Regions from separate parts of the Mus musculus genome. Here all the other regions are reported to be linked to region 1. Evidence: microRNA targets listed by miRTarBase, many of them from high-throughput screens and not tested one by one. Region 1 holds a microRNA gene; each other region holds the end of a gene's coding sequence.
Evidence for each region. The annotated mature microRNA mmu-miR-466p-5p reads UAUGUGUGUGUACAUGUACAU and lies in region 1 at 1,367-1,387, shown strand. An mRNA with a match to its seed (bases 2 to 7 or 8) in the 3' UTR can be bound and repressed. Matches are read on the target gene's strand: a 7mer-m8 pairs with bases 2 to 8, a 7mer-A1 pairs with bases 2 to 7 and ends in A, and an 8mer does both.

Region 2: miRTarBase lists Six4 as a target of mmu-miR-466p-5p. Seed matches in the 3' UTR shown: 7mer-m8 at 1,271-1,277.
Region 3: miRTarBase lists Rab3c as a target of mmu-miR-466p-5p. The part of its 3' UTR that is shown has no 7-base or 8-base seed match.
Region 4: the mRNA of Tacr2 is a reported target of mmu-miR-466p-5p. Seed matches in the 3' UTR shown: 7mer-m8 at 948-954.

The regions. Positions count from the first base shown.
Region 1 is chr2:10,504,654-10,507,838 of GRCm38, forward strand. Mir466p (microRNA 466p) reads left to right here and starts at 1,353; the gene lies at 1,353-1,441. All of the region lies in intron 10 of Sfmbt2 (Scm-like with four mbt domains 2), which reads left to right. It overlaps Mir467e (microRNA 467e), which reads left to right and starts at 1,068; the gene lies at 1,068-1,154. It overlaps Mir467d (microRNA 467d), which reads left to right and starts at 2,977; the gene lies at 2,977-3,061.
Region 2 is chr12:73,100,986-73,104,170 of GRCm38, reverse strand. It overlaps Six4 (sine oculis-related homeobox 4), which reads left to right. Exons shown (of 3, transcript NM_011382.3): 3 at 1-3,185. The coding sequence ends at 729. Among named protein-coding and RNA genes, the nearest start is that of Six4, 11 kb to the left of the region's middle.
Region 3 is chr13:110,059,271-110,062,455 of GRCm38, forward strand. It overlaps Rab3c (RAB3C, member RAS oncogene family), which reads right to left. Exons shown (of 5, transcript NM_023852.5): 5 at 1-2,732. The coding sequence ends at 2,545. Among named protein-coding and RNA genes, the nearest start is that of Gm32881, 54 kb to the left of the region's middle.
Region 4 is chr10:62,264,860-62,268,044 of GRCm38, forward strand. Tacr2 (tachykinin receptor 2) reads left to right here. Exons shown (of 5, transcript NM_009314.4): 5 at 192-1,131. The coding sequence ends at 408. Among named protein-coding and RNA genes, the nearest start is that of Tacr2, 14 kb to the left of the region's middle.

The sequences.
Region 1 (3,185 bases):
CCCACCAAAAATGTGCAAGTGTGTATAGTTGTGTGCATATTCACTTCTGTATATGAATATGCATATACACGCATGCACACACATTCATAGGAATGGCCAGAGCTATGTCTCAGTTAGGAGGTGAGCACTCTTGCCAGAGTCAGGAGGATGACGAGTTCAAATTCATGTTTAACTCACATTGAGTTAGAGATCAGCATGCGATTCGTGTGATGTCCTCCAAATATGTGCATGTGAGTATAGTTGTGTGCATATTCACTTTTATACATGAATATGCATATATACTCATGCACATACACGAATGTCACTCATATATTTTTTTGAATGTTATGTGACTCAGAGATTTAGAGCTTATGCAGTACTGGTCCAGAGCTATGCCTCAGTTAGGAGGTGAATACTCTTGCCAGAGTCAGGAGGATATGAAGTTCAAATTAATGTTTAACTTCATGATGAGTTATAGATAAGGCTGTAATTTATGTTTTTGCCTCTGTGTACGTGTATATGTCTATAGGTAAGTGTGCTTGTACATGTGGGTATATGTATATGCATATATATACACATATATGGACACATACATGTGTACACAAATACACATGGCAATCATCCATTTGATTTATATGTGCTTAGAGTTTTATAGAGTGCATATTCATGGGACAGGAAACATCTCATTAATCAGATGCAAACCATTTGCCAGAGTCAGGAGGATCTGGAGTTCAAATTCATGTTTAACTTCATGATGAGTTAGAAATCGTACTGGATTTATGTGATGGACCCTAGGTATGTGCATGTGTGTGTAACTTTGTGTGAATGTACATGTATGCATATAATTATACATATACATACACATGCATGCACACATACAGACTTGAATACTCACACACATAAGTATGACTCTCATTGATCAATTTGAATGATATATGTCATTGAATTTTATTGATTATGAAGTAGAAGGACACTGAATGGTCTCACTCAACAGGTGTAAAAAATTGACAGTGTCAAGAGGATCAGGTGTTTAATTTCATGCTTAACTTCATGAAAGAGTGGTGCAATGTGATGGTCCCTATGTATGTGCCTGTGTGCATAAGTGTGAGCATGTATATGTGTGTATATTTTATGCATATACATACACACACCTATATACACATGCACACAGACATGCGGGAATGGCCCTCACGGATCCATTTGAATGATATGTGACCTACTGCTTTGGAGGTTATGTATGACTGGGCCAGAGTGAGGTCTCACAAACCACGGGAAAACCCTTGGTAGAGTCGGGAAGATCAGGAGTGCAAGTTCATGGTAAAGGCATGATGAGTTAGAGGTCATCCTGGCATTCATGTGATTGCCCCTATGTATGTGTATATGTGTTTATGTGTGTGTACATGTACATGTGTGAATATGATGATATATACATACACGCACACATAAGACACATATGAGCACACAGACACACAGGAATGGCACTCACTCATCGATCTATGTGACTGTGAGCTTTGGAGATTATGTATGACTAGATCAGGGAGAGTTATCACCCATCATATTAAAAATGCTTGTTTAAATCAGGAGGTCAGGAGGTCAAATTCATGCTTTATTTCATGATGACTTAGAGATCTGCCTGGGAATCATGTGATGCCCCCATGTATGTGTATATGTGTGTAACTGTGTGTGGATTTGTGTACATGAATATACATACCTACACACACGTAGACCCATACACAGACACACATATGAATGCCACTCCTCAGTCCATTTGAATGATATGTGACTTAGAGTTTTAAGATTCCTCAGTACTGAATAGGGAGAGGTCTCACTCAGCAGGTGAAATCCCTTGCCAGAGTCAGGTGGATCAGGAGTTCAAATTTGTGCTGAATTTCATGATGAGTTGGAAATCAGCACGGGATTCATGTGATGCCCACCAAGAATGTGCATGTGTGTATAGTTGTGTGCATATTCATTTCTCTATATGAATATGCATATGCACACATGCACACACATTCATAGGAATGGCCAGAGTTATTTCTTAGGTAGGAGGTGAATAATCTTGCTAGAGTCAGGAGAATATGGTGTTCAAGTTTATGTTTAACTTCATGATGCATTAGAGATCAGCATGTGTTTCATTGATGCACACCAAAATGTGCATGTGTGTGTAGTTGTGTGCATATTCACTTCTCTATGTGAATATGCATATACACACATGCAGACACAGGAATGGCACTCATATATCCTTTGGAATGGTATGTGACTCAGAGCTTTAGAGCTTATGCAGTGCTGGGCCAGAGCTATGTCTCAGTTAGGAGGTGGATGCTCTTGCCAGCGTCAGGAGGTCCCAGAGTTCAAATTCATGTTTAACTTCCTGATGAGTTACAGATCAGCCTGTTATTCATGTGATTGTTTCTGTGTATGTGTATAGATAAGTTTGTCTGTACATGCGGATATATGAAAAGACATATATTGACACATATTCACACATGCATGCATACAGAAACACATGGCAGTCATCCATAAGTTTTATATGTGCTTAGAATTTCATAGAGTGTATATTTATGGTACAGTGAAATATCTCGCCAACTAGATGAAAACCGCTTGCCAGAATCAGAAGTCTTGGAGTTCAGAATCATGCTTAACTTAATGATCAGTTAGTGATCATCCTGGATTCGTGTGATGGACCCTAGGTATGTACATGCACACATAATTTTGTGTGCATGTACATGTGTGTATATGATTATACATAACACACACACACACACACACACGTATAAAAGCAAGCACACACACACCAAGGTATGGCATTCATCGATCCATTTGAATGATATATGTCTTAGAATGTTACTGATTATGCAGTAGAAGGACAGTGAATGGTCTCACTCACAAGGTGTAAACAATTGGCATTGTCAGGAGGATCAGGAGTTCAATTTCATGCTTAACTTCATGAGCAGTTAGAGATCATCCTGGAATAATGTGATGGCCCCTATGTATGTGCCTGTGTGCATAAGTGCGCGCATGTATATGCGTGTATATTTTATGCATATACATACACACACCTACACACACATGCACACAGACATGCGGGAATGGCCCTCACGGATCCATTTGAATGATATGTGACCTACTGCTTTGGAGGTTATGTATGACTGGGCCAGGGTGAGGTCTCACAAACCACGGGAAAACCCTTGGTAGAGTCGGGAAGA
Region 2 (3,185 bases), not on the chromosome of region 1:
CACGGTAAACTTTTCCTGAGCCCTCTTACCCCCAGTGCAGTGGTATACACCGTTCCTAATTCAGGCCAGACTGTAGGAGCTGTGAAACAGGAAGGCTTAGAAAGAGGCCTGGTCTTTTCTCAGTTGATGCCTGTCAATCACAGTGCACAAGTAAATGCAAGCCTGTCTTCGGAAAATCTCTCTGGGAGTGGCCTCCATCCTCTGACCTCGTCGTTGGTTAATGTGTCCGCCGCCCACGGTTTTTCCCTGACCCCCCCTACACTACTTAATCCCACTGAGCTCAACCCTGACCTTGCCGAGAGCCAGCCCGTGTCTGCACCTGTGGCAAGCAAATGTACTGTGTCATCTGTCAGCAACACTAACTATGCAACCCTTCAGAACTGTTCCCTTATTCCGGGGCAAGACCTATTGTCCGGCCCGATGACCCAGGCTGCCCTGGGTGAGATCGTACCCACAGCTGAAGAGCAGGTGAGCCACGCCTCAACAGCAGTCCACCAGGATTTTGTCAGAGAACAGCGCTTGGTTCTGCAGTCAGTCCCTAACATAAAAGAGAATTTCTTACAAAATTCTGAGAACAAAGCAACAAACAACTTAATGATGTTAGACTCGAAATCCAAGTACGTCCTGGACGGCATGGTTGAAGCCGGCTGTGAAGACCTGGGAACGGACAAAAAAGAGCTGGCCAAGCTCCAAACCGTCCAGTTGGATGAAGACATGCAAGACTTATAAGCCCGATTCACTCCACATCCCTCCTTCTCTGCTTTAACAGGAGCAAATCCTTTTCTTTGCGAAGCCCCGAGGATGGAGAGCTTCTATTCATTTAGAGGAAAACACTGTACTTCTGCAAGCAAGCGCATCTGGCTTGGGCTGCATGAAGAGCGTAGTTAAATACACAGGAGTGGACCTGCACTGCCGAAGCCCCTCTGGTCACATCGTGCTCGCTTTGAAACAGATGGGGCGAGGCAACAGTGAATGCATCCATCTAACCATCGTCTATCATTTAGTCAGCAGTATAACTCCACAGGCGAAATGGAAGGTGACAGTATTTCAGATTTAAAATGCATACACCTAATTTAGGAGATTAAATAATAGCTCCAGGCTCTTGGAAGCGATGCAGTTGGTTTTTTGTTTGTTTGTTTGTTTGTTTACTTTTACTCCATGGGCATTGAGATGGTTAAGAAACAATGGTACTCTAGACTATCATAAGGGTATATTTTTCAAATTATGTAGCTTGTGTGTGTGTGTGTGTGTGTGTGTGTGTGTGTACATACACACATTCATCGTTTTCAGCATTTGGGGGAAAGGCTTGGTTTTAAGTCTCTACGTGTTTCCAAATGTGATTGCTAATAGTCAAACGTGGCAGAGTAAGTTTGAGACGCCACTAAACTCTGACACAACTTGGGTACGAATGTAAATACAGGTCTCTAAGCAAGATCTGAGTAAGTACAGTGAGTTTTTATTTATACCTTGTATGTCTCCCTTCAGGCTCTGTGAACTGAAAAGAAAATGTCTTCTTACTGTTTAATTTATATTTATTGTTTGAGCGGGAATAGGACATCTTTGTTTCCAACCAAGGTTTTTTTTTTGTTTTTGTTTTTTTTTGTTTTTGGTTTTTTTTTTTGTAATTGTTATCAAGAGTCTATTGAGGTCAATATTAATTAACACTGAAACAGGAACTGTTAACCCCCAGTACTGGAACTTTGTCACTTCTCATCACATCCTTCTTACTTTAACAACTTTGATTCATTTAAATATGTTTTCTATAGACTCCTATGTGCCTTTTTACCTTGTGGCCTTTTTATTACTAGTCAGGTACAGAAGTGTCAACAGCAGTGTTGATGGTTCTTTTGTACCGTCAAACAGGGTTAAGTTTACCACAGAACCCCTGCATAAGGCAGGACTTCCGTTTCACTAAATATCATGTGGAAGGTTTGCCATGCACATGGATAGACAGATATAGTCGATGCTTTTCATTATAATGAAAGTAGAAAAGTATAGAAAGACCATGAAACAGCAGTTCTGCAGGCTATGACTATGAAAACAACCTTTTTTTTTTTAATTCTGTTTTGGTTTTAGTTTTCTTGAGACAGGGTTTCTCTGTTAAACAGAGAAACTGTTACTGACCATCCTGGAACTCACTCTGTAGACCAGGCTGGCCTTGAACTCACAGAGATTCACCTGCCTCTGCCTTCCAAGTACCGGGATTCAAGGCATGGGCCACCACTACCCAGCTTGACAACAACCACTTAAAATAAAAAATATATATGTAAATTGTACTAAAAATCTGTTCAACTGAAGCTCATTTCCAGTGTTTTGAATTGGTCGGTATACATGACTGTTGCCTGTCGTATTTAATGAAGTAAATCCTTCCGGTTTCTGTGGGAAATTTTGTTTAAAAGTTTTAGTAGGACTCTGCATCTATGATATAACAATGCAATGCCTTTATGCTGTTAGTCCAGGGCATCTCTGATTTCAGAAAGAAGGCGACTTTTTCTAAGGTGACTTCTCAGTTGCTAAGCACAAAGATAGTACCACTCCTTGGTTTTGTTAAGGTGGTGGAAGGGTTTCTAACTAACACACTCATCAGCTGAGCCTGCAGAGTAACGGTCACTGGGGACTTAACATTTGTTGTTACACAAGGGAACTTTCAGTCAAGATTAAGAGCCCTATGAAGAATTCTGTGCCCATCATTTTGATCAAGAACCTAAATCCCATTTTTGTGAAATTGGTGAATGTCCCTCAATTGCTGAAATATGCAATTTGGGCCAGAGGTTGTTGTTTGTTTGTTTTGGATGTTCTTGTTTTATTTTCATGAAGCCAGTTGCTTCAGTGTGGTTTTCCACTCTGACACTACTTACACAGCTTGGCTGCCCCCGTCTCCCAGTTATTTACTGATCATATTAATGTGATTAGCATCCTGGTCTTGTAGTATAGTTTACATTTTTAAAAAATGTTATTTTTTACTAGATTGCTGCAGATATCAAGAGGACATTATTTTAAAATACCTGTCTGGTAAGGGAAGTGGGAAAGTCAAAACGTTCTATAAGGCGGGTGTGTGTGGGTGTCTGCGTGCGTGTGATGGAAAACTCCCATATATCTGACAAAAGTATCTTTTTTATTCCGAGTTCTTCCTCCTTTTCTCCTTATGAGAAAGAAAAGATAGCACAAAACTAAGTACTTACCTA
Region 3 (3,185 bases), not on the chromosome of region 1:
AGGAGGTATGGAATGTTCTGGGACAATGACATTAGGGCTACTGCTGCCCCTCTCTCCACTGACTAGCACATCGTGGTCTTAACTTTGGAATTTTCAACAGAGCATGTATGTGGGCATCTGGCTTCAGTAAATCCTTTTCAACCAGTTCTTCCAAGGAATTTTCAAATGAGTAAACGTGGTTGTTTCCCTTTCTCTCCTACCTGCTCTTGTTTGATAACACACGCATGCCCACATCCTTTTGAAGAAGCCATTCAAAATATCTGAGTGAGGCCTTTTACACTTATTGTAAGCATGCAAGGAAAGAGGCCCAGGTTTCCTGACTTCATTGTTTTGTAGTAGATTGTAAAAATGAGCTTGACAGCCATAGTATTCAATATGGTTGTATTATGGCCCAGGTCATAGAAATAGGATGACATCATATGAATATTATTGCAAAGAAATTCTACTTTATGCCCCTCACTTCTCTCTTTCCCTTTATGTTAATTTCTATGATTCTTGAATTTAGGTGTCATTAAAAATTTAAAAATCACCAGTGTCTTCTTATCTTTGATGAGCCAACACTTGCTCCTCTAGGTGTCAAAGTGGAAACTTACCACTAATTTATAAGTTTGCAACTAAGCACATGAGAAGAAAACATGCACACACTAGCCTGTCAGCAGCCTCGCCCAAGGGAAGGGTGGATCTTTTACACAACTACCAAAAAGGGAAAATGTCTGCCTCACGAAACTGTTCTGTCCTTCAAACTGGTGCCTTCCTAAGATCCTTGCCGCAAAGACTTCTGGAAGGCAGAGAGATTTCTCTTGGCATTTGGCACAGAGGTTAAGAGTTGTTTTTCTATTATTTCTTCTTCTTCTTCTTCTTCTTCTTCTTCTTCTTCTTCTTCTTCTTCTTCTTCTTCTTCTTCTTCTTCTTCTTCTTCTTCTCCTTCTCCTTCTCCTTCTCCTTCTCCTTCTCCTTCTCCTTCTCCTTCTCCTTCTCCTTCTCCTTCTCCTTCTCCTTCTCCTTCTCCTTCTCCTCCTCCTCCTCTTCCTCCTCCTCCTCCTTTTTTTTTAAGCAGGTTTCCCTGTGTAGCCTTTGCTATCCTAGAACTCACTCTGTAGAACATTCTAGCCTGAAACTCAGAGATCTGCCTACCTCTGCCTCCAGAATGCTGGGATCAAGAGTAGGCACCACCACAACCGGGATTTTTGCATATTATTTCTATATGGTCTTCAGAAAACCTAGAAGAGAGGACAGGATATTCAAGGGTCTCACCCCTCTCTTCAACCGCCATGGCTCATCAATTTTCTGGACCGCTCACCTCTATGATCTGTTTATCTTAAGCATGTCTAGAGACTTATGTAACTTTTAGAATTATAAATCCTCTGAAAAATATGGTTATAAAAAATGGTTTTTCCCCCTCAGTCAGGACTCATGGAAAGGTTACCTAATTGCCTCCTAAAGAGGGGGGAAGGCTTAGTTAAAGTGGAGCAGAGAACAGTGGTTGAAATGTTGGCCTACCTTTTATAGGAAGAGGGGCACTAACAAAGTTTCAAGCCAATTTCGAGTTCAGAATTGGTGGGGGTTCCAGAGAGCCATGGTGGTGTTTTGTGGTGTGAGACAAGTCGTTAAGGGATGGAGGTCACTCAGGTCATGGAATGCCACAGCTAGTCACATCCCTTCTGTAGTAGTAATTGCTCTCAAGCACGCAGAGATGAGCAGAATCATGGGCAAGAATCCCGGCAGTCAGGCCTGCAAAGCTCCCTTAGTGTTGATGTGGTTCAAGAAAACTTGCAAGGGCCTGGATTTCATTTTCTTTACTTTTTCTTTATCCCATGATCGAGTTGTATGGTTTGTAGCTACTTTAACTCATTATCTTCCTGCCTCAGCCTCCTGAATGACCCTGTACCCAATCCCTCAATGTTTTTCAAAGTCAACACACCCTTCTGATATTATTAACAAAAGTGCAATATATATATATATATATACATTTCCTACTGGTACACTGCCCAGACCTGTGATGGGGTCTCCAATCAAGAGCAAAAGTCCCACTTTCTTTTTAGACAAAGGCAAAACTAAGTTTCCTGACATCACTCCTTGGTCACAGCACGCACGCGCCCGCGCGCACACACACACACACACACACACACACACACACATGCGCACACACAAAGGGACTCTAGGTTATCATCCATACAAATGAAAAGCATGATATGAATCCGTGGCATGAAAGTTATTTGCAGTAAAATTATAGTCTGTAGTTTCTGCAATAGCTTAATTGAGAAAAAGGTTGCACCCCCCAAAAAGATTATGAAAGACAAATAAATGATAAGTTACATGCAAGTAGCAGGTGTTTATAGATGAATGATCCTTACAAATATAAGAGCAAGTTTGCCACATATTAACACAGGAAATTGCTCACGGTTTGAATGCATATATGGGCCACTGCCATCAAAGACTTCCTTCAAATAATTATTAGGCAGTATAATCGAAGGCTAATAGACCATTTATCAATGCTGCTTCTTGGCTGCTCTGGAGCCCCTTGGAGCTCCTGTGTGGGGGACATTAGCAGCCACAGTTGGGCTGTGGTGGAGGAGGGGTCTCCTTGAGCCTCGTGCTCTGCTTTGCCGCTGTGATGGCTGGGTCGGTCTCCAAGCTCTCTGACATTTTGTCACAAATGATATCTACGAGGCGCTCGAAGGTTTGCTTCACGTTGATGTTATCCTTGGCGCTGGTTTCAAAAAACTCAAACCCTGCAGGAAACACACAGAAACAGGCCCATCATTTCACGTTTCTGAAGTCCAATGGACTCAGTTGCGGTTTTGAATGTCGATGGGGCAAAGGCAGCGGTGGGAGATGGGTGCGATTTCTTAGACCGGAGATGACTGCTGGACAAGAAGCGCTACCCACTGACCAGAGCAGAGAGTTATAAAGAGGGGTTGATGATACTCATTTTATTTGTCTCTACTGATTCATTCATGATGTCTGCAACGGCAGAGAGATTTTCTGAGAGGAAATCAAGAGTTAACAGTAGTAGTATCATTAGGAACCCTCACCAGCCAGTCCTCTCATCCTGACTCCTTGCTCCCGCCTCTGGTGTGCTCATACATCTTTGTTGACTTGGCTGGATTAAGAGCAAAGCATGGGGCGTGTCTGCGACTGCTTTTCCAGGCCCAACTAGATGCTGTGGACTCTGACTTAATCAG
Region 4 (3,185 bases), not on the chromosome of region 1:
GCTCCAAGAAACTAAATCCATTCAATTGTGCATCTCTCCACACAGCCCCGAGTTGTTGAGTTGTTGGTAGACTCTTCTAAGCGAGGCTTCTTTGCAAGGGAGCTAATCTCCTGGGGCGTGGAGCAGTCACATAGCCGACGACTCCTGTACCCCTATCTCCCTTGCTTAAAGTGACTCTCCACCCTCGGCAGGTTTCGCTCTGGATTCCGGCTTGCTTTCCGGTGCTGCCCCTGGGGGACACCAACCGAGGAAGACAGGCTGGAGCTGACCCACACTCCGTCCATCTCCAGGAGAGTCAACCGGTGTCACACCAAGGAGACTTTGTTCATGACAGGGGATATGACCCACTCTGAGGCTACCAATGGGCAGGTTGGGGGCCCCCAGGATGGGGAGCCTGCTGGACCCTGAAGTCTTGAGCTTGTCTGCAGGGCCCAGGCTTAGCCCCTTTGAGAATCGGCTGATGGAAAAGCCCTTACATAATAGCTTGTCCCACACCCCATTCTTCAACACACCAACAGAAAAGAAGCAAGACGGTGCTCAGAGCGCCACAGGCAATGCTGATACAAAGAGCTTGGAGAGCAGACACCCATCATAGGCATTCCAGCAACCGAGGAAGGGGCCAGGAAGACTGGGAACCAACATTTGGCCAATCCAGGAGCTGCAAAGTGAGTTGTCTCCCGGGAGTATAGAGAGGGGTGGAAAAACGATCTCAGGGAAGACAACTGCAGTCATAATGAGAAAGGCAGCTGAAGGATGGTGACATGGCTCAGCAGCGAGGTCGTAAAGCCACTCTCTGCTAAGCCTCATGACCTAAGTGCAGTTCCTGAAACCCACACAGAAGGAAAGAACCAACGTCTGCAAGCTGTCCCCTGACCTCCCCAAGTGTGTGTATGCACATGTGTGTGTGCATGTATATCTGCACATGTATGCACACACACACACACACACACACATGTACATGTGCCTGTGCACATACAATGTTAAAGAGAAAGAAGGCAACCACTCCAGTGTTAGGGTCACAGGAAAAGGTGGGGACTGTGGCAGCCTGCAGAGGACAAGCACCCAAAGGGAAACTCAGCTGCTTTGCTCTGGAACACAGTTGCCAGGTTTTCCAAATAAAGCCTGAGATCTATATATATATATGTATATGTTTATGTACACACACGTGTATATGTGTGTATATGTATATATATGTACACACATATACGTATACACACACACATATATATATACATCATACACACACACACACACACACACACACACACACACACACACATGGAAGCTCCAGGCTCCTAAATTTGGTTCATGAAAATGCTTAGAGACACTGGCTAAGCCAGCGTGGGGCACAACCACGACACTGTCTCCTCGCCAAAGATAAGCCACGAAGGAAGAAGTTCCCCCACTTGGCTGTGAATGGATCCAGGGCGTCTCTGCCTTAGGATCTGAAAGCTCCCATCCCGCCCAGAGCGGAGGCAGTTAACAGTCCAGAGGAACCTCAGTTGAGATATAGGTCAATCTGACCCCCTACAGGATTGCCCTGAGGCTTGGTGGAAGTGATGCCTTCAAACCAGCAGGCTACATTCAGCTTAATGCTAAGTAAATAGTAACCAAGATGCTTCCCACTTCATCAGCTGTTAGGACACAAAAGCACCTACAAGTCGGGACCACAGCTCCCACACACAGGTGAAGCACACCGGTGGTCCCAGTTCTAAGATCGTCCAGCCCAGGCTGCTCCAGGACTGTCCATCTCCCTGTTCCCCAGCAAATGGTGACTCATTTGCTGCCTGCCCAGTGCCCTCTGAAAACCAAATAAGCTGTAAACATGTGTTCAAAGCTTAATGTCATCTGAGTTCTCCTAGAGTTCACGGTGCCAGTACCCCCAATAAAGGGCTCTTATGTCACTTAGAGCTGCAGTAGTGACCGGGACATCATAGAGTTTTGGGAAATCCACCAAAGGGTGGGGATGAACCCCTAACTGCAGAGCTAGTATAGGCAAATGGTCCAGGCAGGGCTAAGGTTCTACAGTGTGGAGAGGGGCCCCAGCAGTCACTTTGTCTCTTTGGACTGCCCCCACATTCATGAGCTGGAATGTGTAAAGGGTGTGCCCTCATCTCGTCCAGAGGCTGAGGAGATGGGGGTAGGGGAAGGGGGAGGACACAGTGAGAAGGGGTTGGACTCAGAGGAACATGGATAGCTCTCTGAGATGGTGGCTTCTTATTCCAAGACTCACAGACCCAAGTTCCTACAGGAGCCCAGGATGTCCCTTTAAGAGCTTCATCCAGGAATGTCATCGACACCATAGGTTACTGGGAGAAGAAGCACTTTATTGTATTTCTGGGGACTTCAGGAAAGCCAAGACCAAATCTTAGTTACTCTCAGCTGATGGCCATTTACCAGGGAGAAAATGAATCTTATATTACCTTTCTCCAGAGATTAAAGAAGGCTGTTGGAACACATGTTGATGCAATACCAGAGCTCTTGGAGGTCTCCAAAAGGAGACTCCCTGACAGTCAGATATTCATAGAGAATTGTACAAGCCATTGCAGAGTTATTTCTTTAATCCAACTACTCGAGAGGCAGAGGCAGAGGCAGAGGCAGTTCTGTGAGTTCGAGGCCAGTCTGGTCTACAGAATGAAATCTAGACAACCAGAACCACATGATGAGACCCTGTCTTTAAAAAAAAAAAATCAGCAAAAACCAAAAATCCTTTTGCAGAATCTGGTGGCTGAGCCAGTGAGATCCTAGACCAGTTGTTCCAGACTAAAAACCTCAGTGTATTGTAAACTTGACCAGGACAGGGAAAGGAAAAAGGACACACAACATATGGACTTGTTAATAAGCTGTTAATGAGCATTGTCCAAGGAGCGGGCATGGTATCTTGAGGGCATGCTATCTCTGTGGACAGCCAGGGAACTTCCTGAAGGAATGCCCCAAGGACAGCTAGACAGGTGTCTTAGTTAGGGTTTTACTGCTGTAAACAGATAGCATGACCGAGACAACTCTTATAAGGACAACATTTAATTGGGGCTGGCTTACAAGTTTAGAGGTTCAGTCCATTATCATCAAGGTGGGAGCATGGCAGCATCCAGGCAGGCATGGTGCAGGAGGAGCTGAGAGTTCTACATCTTCATCTGAAGGCTGCTAGAAGAATACTGACTTCCAGACAGCTGGGGTGAGGGTCT